Linked DNA regions of Rhinolophus ferrumequinum. The main gene of each other region encodes a partner of the protein of the gene in region 2 in a complex. Links are inferred from orthologs where the notes say so. Each region holds a gene or a part of one and is shown on either strand. Other genes may lie near its edges. The genes, in order: SRSF1, ARVCF and PA2G4.

Evidence for each region.
Region 1: ARVCF (region 2) and SRSF1 share a complex: the UniProt entries of both Homo sapiens proteins name them as parts of the ribonucleoprotein complex. The link is inferred for Rhinolophus ferrumequinum from reciprocal best matches to the Homo sapiens genes ARVCF and SRSF1.
Region 3: ARVCF (region 2) and PA2G4 share a complex: the UniProt entries of both Homo sapiens proteins name them as parts of the ribonucleoprotein complex. The link is inferred for Rhinolophus ferrumequinum from reciprocal best matches to the Homo sapiens genes ARVCF and PA2G4.

The regions. Positions count from the first base shown.
Region 1 is NC_046304.1:27,597,899-27,606,154, forward strand, and holds the start of SRSF1 (serine/arginine-rich splicing factor 1), read left to right. Parts: upstream 1-4,640; 5' UTR 4,641-4,799; coding exon 4,800-4,993; intron 4,994-5,404; coding exon 5,405-5,589; intron 5,590-5,927; coding exon 5,928-6,100; intron 6,101-6,300; coding exon 6,301-6,495; 3' UTR 6,496-8,256. UniProt on the Homo sapiens protein: Plays a role in preventing exon skipping, ensuring the accuracy of splicing and regulating alternative splicing.
Region 2 is NC_046308.1:24,485,193-24,493,221, forward strand, and holds the start of ARVCF (splicing regulator ARVCF), read right to left. Parts: upstream 3,354-8,029; 5' UTR 3,120-3,353; intron 1-3,119. UniProt on the Homo sapiens protein: Contributes to the regulation of alternative splicing of pre-mRNAs.
Region 3 is NC_046293.1:55,467,965-55,475,679, reverse strand, and holds the start of PA2G4 (proliferation-associated protein 2G4), read right to left. Parts: upstream 3,488-7,715; 5' UTR 3,279-3,487; coding exon 3,191-3,278; intron 1,309-3,190; coding exon 1,180-1,308; intron 921-1,179; coding exon 815-920; intron 724-814; coding exon 654-723; intron 415-653; coding exon 322-414; intron 1-321. Other genes in the region: ERBB3 (receptor tyrosine-protein kinase erbB-3), read right to left, coding at 5,577-6,103, 6,182-6,476, 6,911-6,982, 7,142-7,330, 7,423-7,520, 7,612-7,715. UniProt on the Homo sapiens protein: May play a role in a ERBB3-regulated signal transduction pathway. Seems be involved in growth regulation. Acts a corepressor of the androgen receptor (AR) and is regulated by the ERBB3 ligand neuregulin-1/heregulin (HRG).

The DNA.
Region 1 (8,256 bases), on a different chromosome or scaffold from region 2:
ACAGAGCAACAGCTCCCGTTCTAGGCTGGCAGACCAGCAGGGGAGTTTGCTTTCACCAGGTCTTGGTACCTTATCACTAAACTGTAGTAATGACTGATGAAGCATGTGGAAGCAACATTTCACTTGAAAAAGTGTATTACTTATGTTTACAACTATTAACAATGTAAGATCTTACCCATGACAAAAACACCTATGAGACAGAGAACATGACAACACTGAATATTTGAATCAGGTTCAAGCAAAAATTACAAAAGCAGACTATTTCCTGGCAAACATTTTCTGTAAAGGGCCAAGTAAACTTGTGGACCATGTAGTCTATGTTGCAACTACTCAACTCTGCAAACAAATTTAGAAAAGTAATTCTGAGAGTTTTCAGCTAATCTGGGGTACTTTCTAAAACAATAAAGAGGAAAAAAATAATCACTCTCTCAAAATTTCAAATAAAAGTTTATTGAAATTACTTCTAACATACTTGGCATCAGTATTAACATGTAATACCACTATTACTACTAATAGCTAACATTTATATAGGACTCACACTATAAGATTTAATTGCCAAAAAAAAGGGCAATATTTTTAGCAAATAAAGCATACCTGCCATATTTTTAATATAATTCCTTAAAGACCCATTTACTCACTCCAGTTAAGAAATGTGCAATATGAAGTGGAGTTTCAATTTTTAAGAGAAAGAGCTAAGTAGGAAGAGGGAGAGAGAGAGTAATAATTAGGAAGAGGAAGACATGATGACAATATACCTCTTTGTAATAGATCACTTTGAGAGCTATTTTCTGGCAAAATCATATCCTACTGGCATCAATGATGGAACAATAAAGGTGGAAAGAATTAGCCAAAAATAAAACTAGAACCAAAGAATGAGGGAGGCCAGTCCTAAAATATGATTACCAAGAAAATATTATTTGTTGACTTATTTGAGCTTGAAAACTGGCCATCCTTACGATAGTGAAATGAAAAACCATCCTTATACCCATTGTGTCTATCCACTGACAGCAACATGATGATGTTTCCATAGAAACAACATTCTGCTCATCTAACATCCCACCTTTTTCAAAGAGCAGTCAGTAAATCGTCAATATTGGTTTTAACAGAGAATTTACTGGTAATAAAGGAAGTTACAGCAGAAATCTGTCCTCAGCATAGTTTACTAGTGAAAATGAGACAAACATAAATTAAATAAAAAGACATATACTACTTCTTCCTTTTTCAAGAATATTTACAACTAAAACAAGTGGAACAATGAATACAGAATTATGCAAGTGAACTGTTCCTGGAGATAACTCCCGTACACAATATTCCGAATCTTTGTGTCTCTTTCTTTACCTAGTAAAAGTAAGTTATCCCCAAGGAAGACAAGCATTGGCATTGACACATGAATATTAAAAACAGAATTTCCAGATTAGGGTAGCCATATTTCGGTGCAAATTACTCTGGAACACTCCCACCCCAGTAATGCCTTTAGAGGAATGGTACTACAGAGTGATTTTGCTACTTGTGGAGTTATTTTCCCCCCAGTCATTTTTAACAAGTTTTGAGTTATACTTTACATACTGTACAACTCACTCACTGTAAGTGCACACAATTCAATGATTTTTAATATATTTACAGAGTTGTGTAACTATCATCACAGGTATAGAGTTTTGAGTGTTCAGCAAATCACTGAAAAATTGGGTCTTCTGATTTCAACATTAACAGTAATTAACTTTTTGAATTTCTTTCTTTTCTATTTCCCCCCCCCCAAGTAATTATTTCCAGGGTAAAGTATAGTGCTAACACTAGCATATGCTTACTAAATTGGACTGAAAGCATTTAAAGAGTTTCTTTTTGAGGAAGTCACTTTTCCTCAAACACCAACAGTGTTAAAAATAAAGCAGCTTCTGAGAATTAAGCTGGTAAAATCCATACTTAATAAATTAGCTAATTGTGGGAGCAATCCATATAACTGCCTGTGAATGTATAACTGAGGAGTTTAGAAACACTCTAAACCTCTAATTAAGAGTAGGATGTAATCTCAGAAGGCAAAACTGCAAGTGGTTGTAATTCAGTCAGCAGAAATCTAATCAATTGCCTAGCACACTGTTTAGAGAAAGTTGAGTGAAGATTAGCCTACAGAAAGAGAATTGCCAGTCTTACCCAGCTCTGTCCAGAGACACAAAATCCAAGGGGTATGAATTTTCCTGTCATTGAAGAGGTATACTCTGTGTGGAGCAGGGATCATTTAGCAGGTCTCACCATGATCTGAATAAAATATCTCTCAAAATGACTCACCTCATTTTGAGTTCTCATTTACTAAGCAACTTCCTGATTTGCTTTCCAGACCTGCCAAAACAGTTATCTTGGTATGTACAATTTGAGCATACTAGTTATCAAAAATGAATCTGCCCCACCACCCAACAAATGAACAAATCATTTTATTTATTTGCTTTCTTGTGGACTAAAATATGTTCATCAACTCTGGTACACTAATAATATCACACCCCGTAACTGTAATAATCACCAAGCCAATGTCATCCTGGGAGACCTTGATAAACAGCCGTCCAGACCTTTCGTGCCACATCCTGACCTCATCATGGACCCCAGAACCTATAATTTGGTTCTATTCAAATACAATAAAAGATGCCAATAGAGAAACAAGAATGTCCCATTCACTCATGTTAAAGTCTACCTTGTGTTCTTCTTAATTAAACAAAATCATAAATGATTTCATTAAGTCAAACACTCAAGAATAAATCAAAGCAAATTCACAGTTTTCTTATTTTTCTGGAATGAAAATGTCTTGAAATTAAACGCACCTATGTTTAAATCACTTCAGTTATCACTTACTTAACATTTATCAACAGAAGATGAACACGAATAATTCCAAATTGATGGATAAAAGTTAGAACAGAAAGAAAATGTGCTCAGTAAATAACTTGAATGAAAATAACGAATACATGAGATGACTGCAATTTTAAAAAAATTTCTCATCTCTCTGCTACAAACCAACTAGGACAGTGCTAGAAACTGAGTAAATTTGTTAAAAAATAGTGTCCATTTGGTCAGCTTCTCATTTTAAAAATTATCAGGGGTGGCCCATTAGCTTAGCTGGTTAGATCGTGGAGCTGATAACACCAAGGTTCCGGGTTTGATCCACGCATGAGCCACTGTGAGCTGCGCCTGCTTTTAAAAAAAAAATTATCAAGTTGTTCTCTTTTTAATTAAAGTCTTGGTTTCAAAAATATCATTGAAGGATGGTCAAGCGATGTCCTTCCCTCTAAAATTTTAGGAGGTTCCTTTTCCTTTTGGGACCTACAGCCCCCTTTAAGAATCAGATTAAAATTTCCATGCACATACATATACACATAATTTTAGAAACCATCACAGACAGTTCAAGGACTACCAAACATTTGTAAAATACATTCAATCAACTTTTAGAACTAAGAAATAATGACTATCTCCTAAACGATCTATTTTTTTAATCTCAAAGACACTTTGGATTTAGAATATCCGCACTTGTGCTCCTGACTTTACTGTGACTTCTGGGATGACCAGTCAAATTTGCAGTCCTTCTCTAGGAACTCACCAGACTATTACTGCAGGCATTTTGTGTAGTAACCTTATCCATGACTTCATCTTAACCCTCCCTCATTTTCCCATTCTCCCTGATTTCATCCAGTTTTAATAATTTTTTATGGTTATCTCTGCAAATTGCCTCACATTCCTGGGGAGAGGGATTGTTGCAAATAAATGTATAATGTATTTTAACATATGTACGACTGTAGGGGTGTTTAAAAAATTTGAATTCATTTACTAATATTTTAAAATCCCAACATTTCACATAAAAATTCAGATTTTAAATATCTCTGGGGGAAAAAAATGTAAAAAGTTCTTATCTCCCTGGGATAGCATGGAAGTAGGATCAATCCTGAGCAGCAACTATGGTCTCCAGTGATCACAATTCTCACATATCCATTTTGCCCATTTATATTACCTGAAAGGACCGGTAATGAGTTCAAAAAAAGGAACGAACGAATCACCGCCACTAGCACAAGGAGTGTTGAATTGAGCTATACTAAGTTTTAAACCAAAGGTGGACCCGTACTGACTGTACAATATTTACTAAGAAATCTAAGCTGGTTCCCTAAATCAGACACTTGTCTAAGCCGGCCAAGGCTTGTTCGCAGAAGGGGCAGGAAGACAAAGTCACGCCTTGGCTCCCGGACTAGGCGCACTCTCCGAGTTCCCCGTTTCCAGAGCAACTGCCTGGTCCCTCCCCCTTTGACTCCGCCCCCGGGAGTCTTTTCCCGCCAAAGGCCGTTGACGCCGCAGAGCATGGTGGGACAGGCTCTAGGCTAGGTTTCACCAAATCCTTTCAAGGGATCGAGTTGCTTTAAAGAGGTTCATTCCTGAGGAAACTGACTTTCTCTTAAGAGTCAAAAGGGATCAATAACCCCTTTAACGAGGGCTCTGTATCTTTTTACCAAACGGCTGGTCACTCCATTAGCAAACGACTCCGCAAATCCGCAACGCGGGGAACTTTTTTTTCCCTTTGCGCGGAGGGTAACGTCGCGCGTGCGTAAACGTACTTTCGCAGCACCCGTTACGCTCGTGCGCGTGCGTACTGAGATCAAATAGCTGCTTCCTCCCGCTTCTCTTCCTCCCTCCCCCCATATCCGTGCGCCGAGCTGATAAAGGCGCCATTTTGGAGGGGCCGCGGGAGACGTGGTGTCGCTGCGGGCTCGCTCTGCCGTGCGCTAGGCTTGGTGGGAAGGCCTGTTCTCGAGTCCGCGCTTTTCGTCGCCGCCATGTCGGGAGGTGGTGTGATTCGTGGCCCAGCAGGGAACAACGACTGCCGCATCTACGTGGGTAACTTACCTCCAGATATCCGAACCAAGGACATTGAGGACGTGTTCTACAAGTACGGTGCTATCCGCGACATCGATCTCAAGAATCGCCGCGGAGGGCCGCCCTTCGCTTTCGTTGAGTTCGAGGACCCGCGGTGAGGCGGCCTGGGCCTTGCGGCCTTGTGGAATTAGGTTGGAGTAGTTGGGGAAAGCTCCACGGCCTTAACATAGAGCATGGGAAGGTGGCTTTTAGGTTGGGGGCAAGACGGTATCGCCCAGGCAGGAGTTGAATAAGTAGCTGAGTTCGTGTGGCTTTTCGGATGGCTGGGCCCCATGGACTTTCTCAGACCGACTTAGTCTCGTAGCGGGAAACTGAGGCGTTGAGGGCTGGTGTAGTCTGGAGCCTGGCGTGCTTCTGGGTGGGGGAGGGGCTTTTCCTATTATGCGGCGCATGTGGGCTCTTCCACGCTGGGTGCGCATGTGCGGGGGGTCGCTAGTTCCCGGCTGAGTTAGCCGCCTCTCCGGGTCCTTTTTCTTACTTCTTTTTGCTTTCTGTGATCACGCAGGGACGCGGAAGACGCGGTGTATGGTCGCGACGGCTATGATTACGATGGATACCGTCTGCGGGTGGAGTTTCCTCGAAGCGGCCGTGGTACAGGCCGAGGCGGCGGCGGGGGTGGAGGTGGCGGGGCTCCCCGAGGCCGCTACGGCCCCCCATCAAGGCGATCTGAAAACAGAGTGGTTGTCTCTGGTGAGTTTACTGTTAATGTGGATTGATGAGAAGGGACAGAAACCACTTAACGTTTTCCTTGCGTGACCAATTTGACAAATGGAAGTTTTAAATTTAGCTTTCTGTGTGAATTGAGGAAACAAGGGTTACTGCGATGGAGATTTATCAAATTAGGTTGCAGTACCTAGAATATGAAGATCCTTACCTTACAGATAATTTTGGAGTCCGGATTCCAGAATCTTAGCTATTTACCTAGGATCTTAAATATAATCATTGTTAAAGTAATCTTTGTTCTAATGTAAATTAAGTTTAATGAGAAATTTAGGATAATTGGTATTGGAAAAAAAACACTTTTTCAGGACTGCCTCCAAGTGGAAGCTGGCAGGATTTGAAGGATCACATGCGTGAAGCAGGTGATGTATGTTATGCTGATGTTTACCGAGATGGCACTGGTGTCGTGGAGTTTGTACGGAAAGAAGATATGACCTATGCAGTTCGAAAACTGGATAACACTAAGTTTAGATCTCATGAGGTAGGTTATACACTTATTCTTTTCTTTGGCCAGAATTGGATACAGTGGTCTTAACAGTGGAATTTAAAGGTAAGATTTCAGGCAAGGGTGCCCAAGTAAAGTGCCAGATTTCTGGTTTTAGCTACATTGTATTCATTCAGCATGCCTGAAGACAGATAAAAGCTTAGATCTTTCAATCGAAAGTTCTGTCTATTCAATAGGGAGAAACTGCCTACATCCGGGTTAAAGTTGATGGGCCCAGAAGTCCAAGTTATGGAAGATCTCGATCTCGAAGCCGTAGTCGTAGCAGAAGCCGTAGCAGAAGCAACAGCAGGAGTCGCAGTTACTCCCCAAGGAGAAGCAGAGGATCACCACGCTATTCTCCCCGTCATAGCAGATCTCGCTCTCGCACATAAGATGATTGGTGACACTTTTTGTAGAACCCATGTTGTATACAGTTTTCCTTTACTCAGTACAATCTTTTCATTTTTTAATTCAAACTGTTTTGTTCAGAATGGGTTAAAGTGTTGAATTGCATTCTTGTGTAATATCCCCTTGCTCCTAACATTTACATTCCCCACATGTCTGATAAATTGTATTTTAAGTGATGTCATAGACAGGATTGTTTAAATTTAGTTAACTCTCCATGCTCTTCAGACTGTGATATTGTGTAAATGTCTATTCTGCTCTGGTTTGTGTGAACTGGGATATTGGGGGTGTTTGTGGTTCTTACCTGGGGAAGTTCTTATGTTTATCTTGCTTTTCATGTGTCTTTCTGTAGACATATCTGAAGAGATGGATTAAGAATGCTTTGGATTAAGGATTGTGGAGCACATTTCAATCATTTTAGGATTGTCAAAAGGAGGATTGAGGAGGATCAGATCAATAATGGAGGCAATGGTATGACTCCAAGTGCTATTGTCACAGATGAAATTGGCAGTATTGACCTTATACTAAAAGGCAAGGGTTAAAAATGATTATATGCATTTACCTTAAAACACTTGCAAACGTCTTATGCAGTTATATTTAACTACAATTGCTTTGCCTATTAAACCTTGGCAATTGTGGCAAAATTACATTGCCCATTTTGTAACTATTTTGCTCCCTTCCCCCCCTTTTTTTTGTTTTAATAGGGACTAATGTGGGAAGAACTGGCTAATTTGTCACAGTGCTTAGTTACAACTGTTAATGTGTGACCTGCTGTTGGTGTACATGTGGGTACAGGGTGTCTTTAATCCCAACCAGATAGAGTATAATATCAATACTGCTAAATCTGCATGTCCTCTGTGTGACTGATATAGCGTTGCTATTTCATTTTTTTAAGACAAAATGAAAGCAAATTACAGAATTCCAACATATTGATGTAGATAATCTAGTTGGGAATACTTTTTAAGTCTCACCTTCCCCTTTAAACTAATACTCATAATTGACTCATGTTTAAAACACTTTAATTTACAAATTAAACTGCAGGTGGGAACATTAGATTTAGTTTAGGCTTAGGTGGGTAGCAATATCAGTAAACTTTTCAACTACATAACTTTTTGCAACCACAAAACCTGTAATACGCTGTACAGTAACAAGTGTTGGCATTATCAGTTGAACTGTAAATAATGAAATGCTTCTTCCAATTAGTCTCTATGATGATTAAGTTTCTAAAATTTATCTGAACACCATTCAGAAACTTGTTTTGGGGAATTTGATAGTTATTGATGTACATCTATTAAACTGATGACAGACATAACTCATCATTCCCCAGAAACCTTTTTTGATTACAGTATCTAACATTTTGCCTCCTCTTTTTTGGTTTTGCTGGTTATAAAGGTTTGGATTGGAGAGGGCTCACTGGATCCCAATCCTTGGAGCTGGATCATTGGATTCAAATCATAATGTGGATAGGATAGGGAGGATGAATTACAAGGATTCATGGAGCGGGATCAGATTACCAGGAACATAGGAGTGGATTCCTGCCCCAACCAAACCGCATTCGTGTGGATTTTTTTTTTTTTATTCAACTTAATTGGCTATTCCAAAGATTTTTTTTTTTCTATTTTTGACGATTGGAGCCCTTAAGATGCACGATGGAATTGTATTTTGCATTTTTTGGTAAAAGGAGCAAAGCGAGGACCTGGAGATATACGCTGGAGCAATCTCCTTGGAAGGATTCAGCACGAGTAGAT
Region 2 (8,029 bases):
GGGCTGGTCTGCAGTCTCTGGCGTCACCCACCATGCCAAGGACTTTACACTAAGAGCATTGGGTTCAAGGGAGCCACCACACCCCTTATCAGACCCACCCCCAGCCTTGGAAAGGCCTGCTGCATCTCTGACTAGGGAAACCCAGCCCAGGCTGCAAGAGCCAGCAATCAGGCCAGCACAGCAAGCTGTGGACCTGCACAAACCGAACAGCAAGAGGCAGCTTCCATGGGCACAAACCGAGTCTAGAGAAGGGATGGGGCCAGGGCAGGGCAGACGGGGCAGGTGTCTTGGGGCCACCGCAGGCATTGAAAAGCCCGGGTTCAGGTCCAGCAGGCCGCCTGAGCGCTAGCTCTGCACTGGAGCCTCGAGTCCTGCTGCACCATGGCAAATCCTATGTGCTCTTCCAGGCCACTGGTCACTCAGTGCGTCGTGGAAAGGCACCCACTTTGGCTGTACCCTCACATTTCACAGATGAGAACACCGAGGCAGAGAGACGCACAGCCCTGCCCTGAGTGGTGGGCTCATAGTCCTTGCCTCGACCCTGGTAACGGCATGGCCAGCCTACGGAAGCCAGGGAGACACGTGGGGCTCGCACCTGAAGGAGGCCTCACTCTCAGGGCTGTTCAGGTGCAGGGCCCGTCCTTCACTGTCCTTGCAGGAGCCCGTACTCAACCACCCCGCCATCCAGACCTCAAGTTTCCCTGGCCTGCACCAAAGGTAGTGAGGGGCTGTGGGGGTACCGAAGGGCCTTGTCCCAGGGATCCTTCAGCCTCCCACTCTGGACGGGCAGCCTGGAGAAAGCAGAGTTCTGGCCTCCCACTGGGTGCCCTAGGAAGGGTCCTGACCTCAGGGGCAGGCTGGGTAGAACAGGTCTTGCCTGCCATGGTGGTCCTGGATGCCCTCTGGTGGCTGCACTGGGCTAGCGGGTGCTTAACTAGAGGCTGCTGACCCCCGGGGGTCCACTGAGGCAGTAAGAAGTACTGTGCCTGACCCAAGATGAGGGGAGGCGAAAGCGGAGGAGCTGTGTAGGTGATGTGGGTATCCACCAGCTCTGGGTTCACCTTCCCGACCTGTGAAATAAGCCAAGATGTGCAGCCCTCCCAGGATTCCTGCTCCTGTGTCTCCCCTCTGGTCACTCCCTATTTCTGGAGCTCCTGCGGAGTGGCCCAAGACTCATCCTAACCTTGATAGAAGCTGGAGGCGAAAGAACAAATACCTTCTCCACACTTCAGCCACTATCAGGGAAGTTCCCTTGTGGCCCCCCAGAACTTGCCCCCAGAGCACCTGTCCTTCCCTGGTCCCCCACCCCAGTCCTGCCCCTCCCTCCCTCTGCTGAGCCCAGACCAGATACTAGGGGCTGACTGAGGCTCTGGCATGCCTGGGGTCCTTGCCCCTCCCATGGTGCTACAGTTCCTGGCTCCCCTTGGAGGCAAAGGATCCTACTGCTTGTGTCTCCCCCAAGCCTGTCTCTTGGGGTGAAGGGGGTACAGTGAACCCATCCTGAATCCTTGTGCAATACAAACAGGGATGGAGACGCAGAGGGGAACCCTGGAACTGGGAAGAGACTTGAGGAGCTACCTCTGGAGGCACCACGAAGTCCAGGTATGGCAGGGGCAGCTCTAACTTAATAGGGCTGGGGGCTGGGGGCTGGACCCAGTTCATCTAGGAGGTACTTGGTCATCAGGTACTAGTGTCCTATAGAAAATCAAGTGAGGAAGAACAGGGTGGGACTGGCTTGGCTGAACTTCTGTGACCCTCTCCAGGCCAGGACCAGAGTCCTGACCACAGCCAGTGCTCTGTGCCCAGCCCTGTGCTGGGTGCTGGCAGACCACAGGCTTGCGGGGGTGGTAAGGGCAGACATGGTGCAGCGGATGGGATGAGGCAAAGCTGGGAGAAAGCATGCCTTCCAGATTTATGGCCCCACATGCTGTGGCCGAGCTCAAGGCCTGGACCATCTGCTCAGAGATTGACTGGCCATGGGCTCAGCAGGCTGGGCAGAGGGCTCTGACTGGCTCCTGTGTCCAGCACTGTCCCAGGTTCAGAGATGCACTGAGCACAGGACAGGCAAGACCTGCTCTGGACAGACAGACCTCTGGCTGCATCCTGGATCTGAGAGTGGAGGCAGGGACGGTAGAGGGGATCCCTGTGCCCCTGGTGCTGTCCTTATGAAGGAGATTGACCCCAGAGGCACCAAGTTTATAAGCCTCTGGGTTTATTAAGTACCGACCTGGTGTGTACCCTGCACAGTTACATGGGTGACACGGGGAAGGGATGTAAACAAGGGGTAATTGAGGTTACATTAAGAACCTACCCTAAAGGATCAAACCCCTTTGGGCGGGTTCTTCTCTTTCCCTTGTTTCTAAACGTGGCTGGGTCTAAAGAGAATGGGAACCTGAGTGATACACTCTGCATAGGTTAGAAACGGTGACTTGTTTTAAGTACCCAATATTTAATTAAAAGTTAAAATAGAAGGCTAGGGATCCCAGGCTGCCCGCCCAAGGCGACATCTCAGCGAAGCCGGGCTGAGTACCACTCCGAGTGGGAGGACGCGCCTCCCTCGGCCTGGGGCCAGGTGTCCCACCGAGGCGGCGCTGGGCCCGGGTCAGGGCACCGGGCAGGGTCTCCGGGCAGCGTCCCCTTTCGTGTCCTCTAGGCGGCAGGAGATGCGCAGCGTGGGGACGTTCCTTTGGCCCCGTCGTGCCCCCGCGCTTCCCAGCGGCGCACCGCTCCGGGAAAGTTCCCGGGCCCCGCCGCCCCTCCGGCCGTCGGAAAGTTTCTGTAGCTGCCCAGCCCTGGCTGCGAGGCGCCCGGCGTCGCACAAGCGGACGCTGGATGCGCGCGGTGCGGGGCGCGCCGGCCGCTCGGGCAGGGCCCGAGGCCGTGCACAAAGGGACCCACCCCGCCAGACGAGGGTCTCGCGCACCGCAGCGCGGGCGACGTACGGGTGGGGCGGAGCCGGGCTCGGATCCCCAACCACGACCCCCGCCCGGATAATAGACTCCCGGCCCAAGACCCCGCCCCGACGGGGCTCCAGCCCATCCCGCAGCCGGGAGCCCGCTCGCACCTAGCTCTCCAACCCCCGTCCCCATGCGGACCTCGTCCCTGTCACCCCAGCATACCTGGAGCGCGACGTGGGCGGCTCCGCAGCTCGGCCCCCACCCCCAGGCGGGCGTCCCGGGTCCCAGAGCGCGCGGGGCGCGGCGTCCGCAAGGCGCGGTGTGGGTGGCCGTCTGCGGGGCCTCAGCTTGGGCCGGTGCAGAGGCTGACCATCCCAGGACCAGCGCGTATCCCCCGGGCTAGCCCTCCCGCCCTTCGCGCGGTCCGTGCGCAAAGCGGGCCTAGCCAGCGACGCGGTTTTCCGCTCCGCCCCATCCGACCGCGAATTTTCCCATTGGTTGGAAGACCAGGTGCGGCCCGGCAACCGGCGCCGATTGGACGGGCGCAGGGAGACGCGGGATTGCCATTGGGCCACCGAGATGTCCGTCCTGGCCGACGACCGACCCCCTCGTAGAGTGGTGGAGGCCGGGCACCTGCCTGGACCGCTGCGGCCCGGCACCTGCCTAGATCTCTGCGGCGGCGGCGGCGGAGGCCGCAGGGTATCCCTCTTTGGGCCGCCTTCCAGGACTTCCCCAGACCGTCCGGCCCCGAGTAGGGGCCGACAGGCCCAGCGCCCCCTCCCCGGACTCGGGCCGCGTTGGTCTCATCACCACCCCTAGTTCGCAGGTATCCTTCACCAGCACCTGCGGTAGGCCAGGCGCTGCGCGCAGCGTTCTCCTGTCCACGTCAAATTGTACTCCTCACACAACCCTGGAGGAAGAGTTCTGCTGCCATTCCATTTTACAGATGGGAAACTTAGGCTCAGAGAAGTTCTCAGTTGCTTTAGTCACCAGGGCTGGAATCCAGTCCATCTGATAACTGGGCCTGGAAGCTCTCCCACCCTCATCGCCCCAGGATTCCCACAGCAAAGGCGGGTGGGTGAGGGCCTATAGTGTTTCTAAGGGCAAGAAGGGACCCCTCAGAAAACCAGGGGTTTTCCGTCCCCATCAGGCCTGAATCTACAGACACACTGGGCTCAGTCCACTTTACAGGGCCCCACAGGACCGCCCTCCCTCATCTCCCTCATGCCATCCCGACAGATCTGGGCCTGGGGAGGAGGAATTTGTGCCTTTAACCCTCCTCCTCCCCTTCGTGGTGTCTCATTTCCTCCATCCTACCAGGGGTCGCAGAAGAACACTGGGTTTTAGCCACCTGGATTGTGTTTAGGGAAGGCTGCATTTCCTTGCCAGGTGAGAGCATCCACCTGGCCCTGCAATGACATAGGGCACATATGTGACCACAAATGGGACCATAACTTTAGGCCAGCTCCACTTCATGGTGTGGGGGGCACCAGTGGGGATGCTGCCCATTGGGGTTTGTTTCAGGGGGATCCTGAAATGGCCCTTTGACCAGTGACCCTGGCTCATTCTTGGTTCTAAGACTTTCCTGCCATGGTTGGACCAGATCTTCAGCTCACCATATTCCCCAAGGCTGCCCAGGGAGTCACACTGCCCATGACAGTGCTAATGGGGGGACCAGATATTCATGTCTTATCCACCCACAACATGAGGTCAGAATGTTCACCCAATAATTTCTTGGTCAGAACAAAGAAAGTAAATGACTTGAGGCTAGAACTCACCACTGGTCTCACCATTAGGTCCCCATGTGCCCTGTCACACATGGCAAATTGATCCCATCAGACTTTCAGAGCTAGGCAGCTGCCACCAATTGACTGGAGTTGGCACTTGAGGTGACAGCCATTTGGCCCCCTGACACAGGGATGTTGCTCAAAGCTCTGGGCGGGCAGAATGAAGTGTCCCTCTCTGGAACACAAAGGTTTCCTTGCACAAGATAACTCATCCCATGGAGCCACACCATCAATGACATTCTGGCCCAGCTGCCCCTGGGCTGGGAATTCTCTTTCTACATTTAGGAGTAGATTTAATTAGCCCAATGTTCAGTGGATCTCTCTGAGGGCATTGATTGTGCCCTGGTCCTTTGGGAGCCCCTCCTCTTACAGTGACCTTGTGGGCCAGCACCACCCCTCCCCCACAGACTTACTGATCATAGCAAGAGAGGCTGGGCAGACCTGCTGAAATTGTGCACCTAAATCATCCCAAGTGAGGACTGCCTCCCTTCCCCCTCATTCCTGGCAGGGTTCCAGAGACCCGTCCGCCCCTGAACTGGATCACCAGCCACATACAGAGGATCAGCGTGTGCAGCGACAGTTCGAAGAGGACTCAGGACCACTGTCTGGCAGTGGGCACACCATGACCCAAGTGGGGGTCAGAAAGTCAGAGGGCAGGAGAGGTGGCCTCGACCACTCCCCACTGCCACAGGGACCGGTAGCCCAGTCTCCTCCCTCTCCATGGCCACTGGCCAGCTCTGTAGGGATATCCCTGGGGCATGCAGGGAGAAAAAGATTTCAGCTGGATGTCAGGAAGAACTTTCCAACAGTTGCAGATGTTCAGACACCAAAAGGGTGGCCACATAATAAGGATGTCTAGGGATGTGTGTAATCAGAGGTGGGTGGCAGTGAGTCCCTTGTAGCCCTGAGACCCCAGGGCTCAGGTGCCCACCTCGACCCATCTAAATGGTCTTGTCTGCTTCCTAGCACCAAATGTCATCCAGATGGGAGTCAGCGGTGACAGTGAACATCAGAGTGCCTGCTCTGGCTCCATCTAGATGGAGGAAGAGTGTGGCTGGGGACTGGACTGGCCCAGGGCCATATGCTGCTCTCTGTGGCAGACTGGGATTTGAACTTCTGTCCAACCCACGCATGACTGCATCCCACTTTGCAGGCAATGGGAAAGCATTGCTAATGAGGGCCAATCTGTGTTCTACTCCTCTGCCCCAGTGGTCTGGGGCAGACCGCACTGCAGCTTCTGCTCCATACCCCAGGGCATTGTCACTCACCTCCAAGCCCATCCTGCTTATCCAACACTACCACCTCTTGGCTGGACTAAATGGTCCAGTGACCAGCCCAGCACAATACTGTTGCCGGATGGTGGAAGGGAAGACTGTGTGTCTTGCTGGATCTGCTGCCTGCTGGCCTTGAGTCCCCAGGTATCTGGAGTGCTCGCTTTCCATCCCTACAAAGGGCTTCTGTTGGGTTCCAGGAGGAACACAGATGAGACGGCGAAAGAGTGGGGTGAAATAGTGAGCTTTCAGGGGCATCATGCAGGTTTCGGTTTGACTCTAGCCTTTGCTGATTAACAGCCAGGCCCTTCTCTTTGTTTTCCACAGGGCATCAGCGCTCTGAGTCAGGATCAGGGAGCCTAGATCTTCAATGCAGGACTGTGGAGCTAATCCAGCCACTGTCATTTGCCACCTTGTCTTTTTTTTTACTTCAAACAAGCGACGTAACTGCTCTGAGTCCTCGTGTCTCCATCTGTAAAGTGGGATCAATGAGAGCTGTGTACTGGAACACTGGGCTTAGAGTGCTTAGCACATTGTTATTTTCCTTAATATAACTCTCATTCTTGTCATAGTTTGCTGAGCGCCCACTTTGTAGCAAGCCCCGGGCCTCTGACTCTACACTTTCCCTGCATTCAGGCCCCAGACAGATGGGGCAGGGAGCCCAGTGCATGCCTTTGTCCTGTTGGGAGGATTCCAGTCAGTGTCCTTTCCAGGCCTCTTGCTCACCTAGTCCGGATCAGTTTGGGCCAGCCTTTCATCCCTGGGGCCTGCACCTGTAGAAGAACAGCTTGGAGGTGGACTCAAAGGCTACGGTGGCTGGATGGGGCTGGAGTGCCTGGTCCAGGGCCTGTCCTGAGCATGGCAGGGATGTCAGGGGGTCAGAGTTGCAGTGGAGAGGATGGCCAGGTCCCAAGGCCCGGATTGGATGGACCAGAGAGGGGCTGGAGGCCGGCGGGGGTTGGGGGGGGGCACCAGGACCCAGCCTGAGGGGCGGGTCCGGAAATGAGCATCCCTGTAGTGCACAAGCCGGGGCCACCAGGTGGGCCGGTGACCGAGTTCAGACAGCGGCCCTGACGGGTCAAGCGGCTGCGACCTCCTGCGGGAGTCCCCGGGTCTGGAAGCCAGGAGGCTGGGAAGGCCGCGGGGGTCACGCGGTGTCCAGACACCAGCGCAGCCAAGAGGTTTGGCGCAGCCTCAGGGGCGGGGCTCTGGGAGGGCGTAGCCCCTGGAGCGACAGCGCACGTAGCCAACTGTGCCTCGGGTTGCAGCGCGCCGCTCTGTCCCTAGCCACGCAGCCGAATGGCTGCGCACAGACTGCGGCAGGGGCGGGGCCTGGGCGGTGGCGGCAGCGCGCGGGCGCGGCACCCGGAAGTCGGCGGCGGCGGAGGCGGTGAGTGCGCGGCTGGCTGCCCGGGCCTGCGGACTCCACTCCCCGCGGAGTCGGCTGGCCCGGGCTCGGGGGCGCGGGGCTCCGTAGGAGCGGGCGGGGAGGGGCGGGGCCGTACCCCCCTCCTGCCTCAGTTTCCCCTTCCCGAGGCGTGAAATGGAAATCAAGCTGCAGGGTCCGGGGAGACCAAACCGCCCAAGGCCAACGAAGGGCTCCACTGGGAGGCGTTTCCAGTGATCCCCGCCGGGTTGGGGTGGGGGGGCCACTGGCAGACCGGGCTGGTCTTGCTGCAGGGAAGCAGAGACTGGCGGGGCTGGGGGAGTTGCGTGGTGGGTGGGTCACGGCGTCGGTCAGCTATGGAGCCCTGAGTCACGCTGCTGCCTCCCTGCGTCCCGCTGCGGGTGCAGCGGGGTGACAGCTGTCTGAGTAGGCAGCAAGTGCTGGGTCATCCCTGTGCCTGGACATAGCTTTCCTGGCTGGGGTGGCTCAGGTAGCCAGACCCTTCCCCCAGCGCATCAGGGGTGGGGCCTGGGCAGAGTTGTACCCAGCCCAAGGCCTGGCCCCTTTGCTGGCCTTTGAGACCCCACCCCCCACCCCAGCACCTTCCATGCTTCCTGGCTTCATTCTGGGGCACAGCTAAGGGGAACCTTTGGACCAGTCCCTGAGCCTCAGGTCTCTTCTCCAGCG
Region 3 (7,715 bases), on a different chromosome or scaffold from region 2:
TTAAGCTATCTACCTCAAATTTTGGGGGAAAACGCGCAACCAAAACATGAAAAAGGAAGGATCTCTGTAGGCTCCACATACCCTCATACACCTAGCATGGAACCGTCTATGGTAGGCATCACGGTTAACTGCTGTTTAGTCTTAAGCTCTTTAGTTCCTGCCTCTTCTCTTACAGAAATCCCATCGGAAGTGGTAGCTGATTTAAAAAAACTGTTTTACGAGAGGGCTGTGGGCAAAGTTGGCAGTGCAATATAGAATCGCTGTAGATGCCTAGTGTAGCTTTGGCTCTATCAAACTTTGGAGCTAGACTAAACAGCTTACCTGGTTTCCAGGTTTGACCAGGCGTAGGGCAGCTTCCGCACAAAGGTGAGCTGCCTTAATGACATCTGCTTTCCTCCCTGTTACTTGGGTCCCCTGTAGATAAGGAAATGCAATCAGTGTCTTCCTGGAAAGTTCTTTAACTCAGCTGGTTATTCAGTTAATATCCCTGTGCCCACTATGTAAGGTCAGCCAATGAACAAGAGAAATCACCCTTTTTCCTTTTATTTCTCCAGAGACTCTCTCAAAACTCACTTGGTGGTAGGGCGTGGGAATAAGAAGCAAGCAGCAGTGCACGCTCACAGGTTGAACAAAGTTCAAAGCAGGCCACCTACCTGAGCTACATCAACCACAAAAGTGTGAGCCACATTAGCGATGAAGCCATCCACATGGACCCCAAGGTCACTGAGAAGCAAGACCAGAGTACAGCATTAGCAACTGGGACTATATAAATGCTTAGGAAAAAGACAAGTGCTCTAAAACAGTTTAAGCTTACATTTTTACCAAGTCACCTTCCTTGAGAATATAGTCCTGGTCGCTCTTCAAAGGGGAGAAGTGACATACACAGTTATTTACTGAAATGCTGGTGGGAAAGGCAATACCTGTAGAGACAGAATCATCAGCCTTACTGCCTTGCTCTCTCTTGGAGCCCTGTTGCCCCTCAGAAGAATGGAAGGATTTTCTTCAGGGTCTTGCCTAAGTTTAATAAGTTTGGATTGCGTAGCAAACTGCTTGTAACCCACTTGCCATTTCCAACTTCCAAATATCTCAACTAGAGCTGGGGTGAGAGTTGCATCATTATGACAAACAGGAACAAATAAGGGTCAAACTTGGGAAATTAGTGGGGGACTGATTTTTTACCTTTCTTCATTTCTTTTTCTTTCTTGAAAATTTTCCCCGTCTCTTCCATAATCATGGCATCACCTTTCTCACACAAGCTCAGTACCGACACACCTGAGCAGGATGCTTCCACCAGAGACCGAAGTACCCCTAAGGACAGAACCCCACCATGTCAGTCCTGCATGTGCTGTCTAAAGTTACAATCCAAGCAATACCTAAGAGTTGGACCCAGAATGTCTAATATTCTCTAGTGCCACTGCCCTAAGGCTGAAAGAGGAAACAAGTTTTGCCTCTTGGAATGTACCTACCTTTAATCTCTAAATTTCTACCTTCCTTTCCTAAAATAAAGAAGTCAACACTCCCTTCCCTTCCTTATATGTGATAACTGGGTGTATACAATCTGTCTCCCTAGGCAAGGGAGACCTTCCACACATACCTACGGTGTGGTAGGACAGAATTATGAACTTCAAGGGGGTCCTCATGAAGGTATCCCACATACATGCAAAACAGACCAAAAGAAATTTATAGGCGTCAGGGACAACAGGAAGGTAGGCACACAACTGCTGACTCCAAGCTGATGCATTGTGAAATGCTACCTTCTCCCTTCTCAGACACCTCAATTAGGTGTTAGTAATTTAATTTATGTAGACTTATTTCCTCACAAACAAGTGTATAAGCCAAGGGGACTTAATCTAAGGTCCCTGGGCTTCAGCAGGCTCATGGCTTACAACTTTTAGCAGATCATAAAAAGGTATGTGACCCAAAAGTTCTAAACTGTTATCTGCAATCGCAAGTACCTCAGAAGTTCTAAATTGCAAAAAAGTTTTCTTCTGATTCAAACCACTAATATCAAATACAAAAACGTACCAAAAATGGGGATACCATACTAAATGTCCATTATGTTATAAAGCATCTCCATGGCCCATCCTGAATTCTAGGTTTGATTTTTGTGATCTAAGTTTTGGTGAATCTTTGGAAGGCTGAAACTCATGTTTCCAGCCATTGGACCAGAGGCACTCTAAATACCTAGCTTTACTATCAAAAGCATTTAAAAGCCCAAAGACAAGCAGTTTCTGTCCTCTCAACTGGGTTTTAAATTGGAAAGGTGAATTGGAAATAGAGAAAATAGAAAGTGAGACATCTGCCTAGAGTGGCAGGCAGCTGCTGAGAAAGTCAGAGCAGTCCTAATAAGGATGACTTCTGAGATCCTAAAATCGGTCCCCCCTCCCCTTTCCAGTACTATTCACAAGTTTGTCTAGTTGGGGTGAGGGCCTCAAAAACATTTCTGGAGTTGTCAAGCTCGAGATCAAATACAAAGGCTAAGAAAGGCTATCTGCACAGATTGACGGTAGTAATGAGTATCTTCAAGAAAAGCCAGATACATCTCAAAGAGGGTGTGAGGAGCTCCACGGGTGCCTTCCAACGGTCCCAAAGCTGGCCCAAGAGTAGAATGGGGCGCCCACCAGGGAAAGAGTTGAAGTTAAGAACCAAAGACTTCAGTAAAGCACGTGGTAGAGAAGCTGGTGTCAGGGACGGTAAGCGGAGGAAGAAGGCAGCCAGCGATCAGCACAGGAACCCGGCAACACGTGCCGGCTCGACTCCTCACGCCCCGAGAGCCGCGACAAAATAGAGGGGCGCTCCCGTCGCCAACATCTGGGTGCTTCCTTTTCGAGGTGGCCTCGTCGCTGCCCGAATTAGAGGCGGCAGGGATCCGGACCAAATGGTGAGGGGCAGGAGACGAACCTTGCCTCCTTACTAACGTCCTAGGGTTCGCGACGGCCAGGGACCCTGCTCTGAGCTCTTCCCCGTCGCCGCCCCGCACCTCCAGACTCCAGCCCAGGCCTGGACGCTCAGGTCCCAGGCGCGACACAGGAGTCTTCCCACCACGCCACCCTCAGCGGACCGGCGCGGGGCCCTCAGTAGCTCACTCTGCTTGACCCCACCGCTCCAGCCCCTCCAGAGCCCGCCCAGTACCATCCTCCTTGCCTCTTCCTCTCAGACTAGATCCCCGGACCCCTGAGGCCGCACTCACGGTTGGCGATGTCGCCCCCCATCTTATACTTGGTCACGACCAGGTCCTCGGCGATAGTTTGCTCCTGCTGCTCGTCCTCGCCCGACATCTTCCCGCCGCCACCACCACTGCAGCCTCGTCCCCCCGAGCTGCCGCCTCTGTCTCCCTCGCTAGCCACAGGCTGTGGTCTGAGCCCCTTCGATTCGCGAGGAGGAGAGCGCGAGCAAAAGCGCGAGCAAGCAAGGGAGCGGGCGGGAGGGCGAAAGCGAGAAGGTGCGAGCGCGCGGGCTGAGGCGCAGGGCACGCTGGGACAACGAGTCCTTTCCACAGCCAGCCTCTAGCCGCCCTCTTGGACTCGTGAACTACAACTCCCAGCCTGCCTTTCGCGCCCCTAAACCAGGCCCTGGGGCCTTGCCCTCCGAGGGCCTCGCACGCTGGAATCGCCGGGCACGCTGGGAAGGGTCAGGCTCCAGTGGGAAGGCGGAGCCGTTGGGAGTTTAAGAAGCGTGGTCTCTGCGGGAAAAACCGTGTCCACCAGGAGCCTTGAACTGGAACCTTTAATGGAGGGGGGCGGGGGGCGGGCTGAGGGAGAAAAGGCGGAGCTACCCGCGGGGAATTGGGTTTGGAGGCGGTGGGGCAGGGTGGAGCCCAGGCGATTGGGGGTGACTAGGCTCAGGGCGGGGATCCCTGGAGCGGCTGGCAGGACCGGCTCTGCGGGTCCAGTCGTCCTCCGATACTAGGAGAACCGGGAGGGGCCGAACGGGTTTGGAAGGAGACCAAGGAGCAGGGACTTAACTGGGCCCGCGGACTCCGAAGGGATTATCCATTTACAGCCTCCCAATCTACAGACCGGACTCCCACAGAAGATGGCACTATTGTTCCAACAAATAAGCTTTGATGGCACCTAAGCGAAGTGTTCACGGCGACTTTTTTAAGAGAATAAGAGTTCTGAAACCTGGGAGTTTCAATATTCCACCTCTTGAGGGAGCACATCTATAGGGCTTTTTCAAACTTTCCCAAACTTTTTTTGTTATTCCCAGTTGGTCGCCTTGTAGATTCCTAGTAAAACCTTTAAATGAAAAGAACTGTGCGCTATGCTTCTCTTAAGGGAATACAAGGACAGTGGAGGGCTGGAGAAAGCTGCATGGGAAAACAGACAAAGCAGAGGGGGGAAGTAGCTATTGTTTGCTGAGGAGTAGAGAAAAAGGGTGGTCTAACACTAAAGGTTTTCTTCATTTAACAGACAGAAAGCTGAAAAACGTTGGCATTTTTATTTAGATACGTATAAAAACAAAACAAAAAACTTCAGTGATATAACAGATACCCCCAGTTTCCCATCCAATGGGACAGAGGTCTGAAGAGAGGTCCTCTTTCTATTCCAACTGGAAGCTTCCCATTACTGGGTGAGAATAGCTCCTAAAAGTGGCTCCTGGGCGACCCTTATGGATCTGTCTCTTGGGTAAGAGATCATTAACAGCACACATAGGTTATGGTTTACAAAGATGTCTGCTTATTTTTCCTTCTGACTACCCCACCCCCATTTCCTGAGATGAGAAGTCTGGGTTTAGGAGGCTGTGGTTGTTGGAGTTAGACTTGATTCAGTGCAAAAATAAGACAATGCCCCCTACAAGGACTCTGACTTGTATCACTTTTCCTTGATACCTTACAGTAAGAGCACATGGATTGCAAGAATTTGAATCCTGGACCTGCCACTTAGTTTACTTTATCTCTTTAAGGCTCAGTTTCCTTATTTGTAAAATGGGATAATATCTAGCTCACAGAATTGGTGTAAGGATTAAGTGAGATAATGTAGGTAAAGTTTAGCAAGATGCCTGGCACAAAGTAAAGGCTTAATTAATAGTAATCATTAATATCTGCTTTTTCTTCACAAGATTTTAACCTTCCCATTCTTTCTAGGGGGTTAAGAGTCTTATACCAAAATTTTACTTTCCCCCTGCCAGGTTTTGCCCCTTTTCTCTTCCTTAGGAGTCTGATGAGAAACAAAGGCACACTGTGAAGCCCAGTCTCCACAAGTTAAGAGTCTGAGAGAACGGAACATGATATGGGAGTAATTGTATGGATATGGGATATGATAAGGGAATAATCCTTCATATCTCCAGGGAGTTCCCCTGAGAAAGCAGAGGAAAGGGATTGGGAAAGAAAACAAAATAGGGAAAACCTTCTCCTTTCCAGGGAATGGCAAAGAGAAGAAAGTGCACAGTTGGCTACATACCACAAGAATTTTGTGTCAGTATTTAAAAGCCTCCAGAAATTGAATGGAATTGTCTAGGACTAGGGAGGAAATGGGACTGAGACCTGTGAGGGACAGGGACTACGGAGAAGAGGGGTACCCTCTAGAGGCGTGAGCTGCCATCAAATGCTCCCTGAGTACCTCGGGGAGCAAGGGTTATGTTCTCTGGGCATTAGCCTTGGGGAAAAGCCTGCTATGCCAGTAATCAGGGTTGTCAAAGGCAGAGTCTGTGGCTTCTAAACTACGTAGAGTTTTGAGGCGGGCATAATGGACATGGGGGGCATGGTGTCCAGACCCCTGGAAAGCTCTCATCTCTTCATAACCTTGCTCAGCTGCTGGGCAAGCGCCCATGGCTGCATAGTCTCCCCCAGGACCTCCACCACCACGTCGCCTATTCATATATTCATAGTCCTCGTCTGGAGTTGTGCCAGCAGTGGGCATGATGGGCACAGGGTGGAGCGGGCAACTCTGTGTGCTGCCCAGGGAAGCACTGAGATCGGACCCCACATCCATGTACTCATAACCAAGCTCTTCGAGGGAACTTGGCCTGGGGGGACGAGGTGGACTGTGCCTTCTCCTCCGGTTCATGTATTCATACTCCTCATCTTCATCTTCTTCTTCAGTACCCAGGACAGAATTGAGACCCACAGAAGAAAGGGTGCCTTCCCGGGAAGAAGGAGTACCTAGGGGTTGAGAAGAGAGGCTAGCTATGCGGAAAACTTCACCATAATAAGCAGTGGGGAGAAAGGGGAGGCAGGCACCTTTGAGGTGTGCATCTGGCATGACGTAACCATTGACATCCTCTTCCTCTAACCCTGGTGGGGAGAGTGAGGTGACAGGAGGAAGCAAGCTGTGGCGCTGGGAATGGTAGGCACTGTCTCCGCGTGGCCGTGGGCTGCGGCTCCGGCTTCTACACATGGACACCTTCTCCTGGAGCTCAGTCTCAGAGCCTGTCACATGGCCCTCTGATGACTCTGATACCAGGCGCCCCCGTGGCATCGGGTGCAGAGAGGCTGGACGGGAGCACCGTTCACTACCCGCACAAACTGTAGACTCCTAAGAAGGAAAATAATAAACGGAGATTTACACAGAGACAAAGAAAAGAGATTAGGTAATTCAATGCATTTTTTTTTAAAGCCTTTTTTTGGGGGGAGGGAATACTGGGGAACAGTTTGTTTCTCTAGGGCCCATCCATCAAGCTCCAAGTCGTTGTCCTTCAATCTAGCAGCTCAGCTCTAAGTCCAGTCATCGTTTTCTATCTTAGTTGCAGGGGGCGCAGCCCACCATCCCATGCGGGAATTGAACCGGCAACCTTGTTGTTCAGAGCTCGCGCTCTAACCTACCGAACCATCCTACCGCCCTCAATGCCTCCTTTTTTGTAGGACACTGATTAAACCTCAAAGGTTTCTAAAATCTCCTACACTACCCGTCGATCCTAAAACATTCTGTCACCCAGCCTCTCAGCAGCTCCTTAAAAAGGCAGGCCTTACCTGACAAGCCTCCCCAAGATTACTCTGGTTCATAGGCATATATCCAGATGATGGACTTAAAAGGTTCTGGCTCTAGGATGAAAAAAACGTAAGAAAGAGGTTTAGACAAAGGCAAAAATCTTATCATGGGGCCTTTGAGTAGTTAATGTGGGCATCTGTGGGGTTCACGAGAGTGCAGGTGTGCAGACGCTCAGGGTGCACAAAGTCTTGGGTAACTTGAAAGTATCTTACCCCACGTGGCCGATTAAGTGTTCCAACTGGCAGGCTGAGGACGGAGCCTAGTGTTGTCACCAGGTTGTCCTCCTCTGCCTCCAAGTCCAGGTCAAGGTCTAGTTCTGGCTCCAGTTCTACTTCTTCCAGTTCCTTGTTTGTCAGAGCAGGTGGCTCTGCCCCAAGAGGAATTCCAGGTCCACTCTCTCTCTGTAGAGACAGGTGATTGTTAAGATAGATTCTGGTTCCCGCCAAGTCCCCTTTGCTCTAAATACCCTTGACACCTCCTAGTCCCTACTCACCTTTATGACCAGATACCGTGGTGGGTCTCGGGCCATCCTCGTGAACTCATTGGCTAGTTCTTTAAAGGTTGGGCGAATGTTCTCATCAATCATCCAACCTGGAAGTAAGATGTAGAAAGTAGGACCATTAAGAGGGGAGCGGTGTAGGGAGGGAAGTCACAATATGGCTGGCATCAGCAGGTAACTCACACTTGACCATGACCATGTAGACATCAATGGTACAGATCTGGGGCTGTGCCAACCGCTCCCCCTTCTCCAGCAGATCTGGTACTTCAGCCAATCGGAGCCCTGCA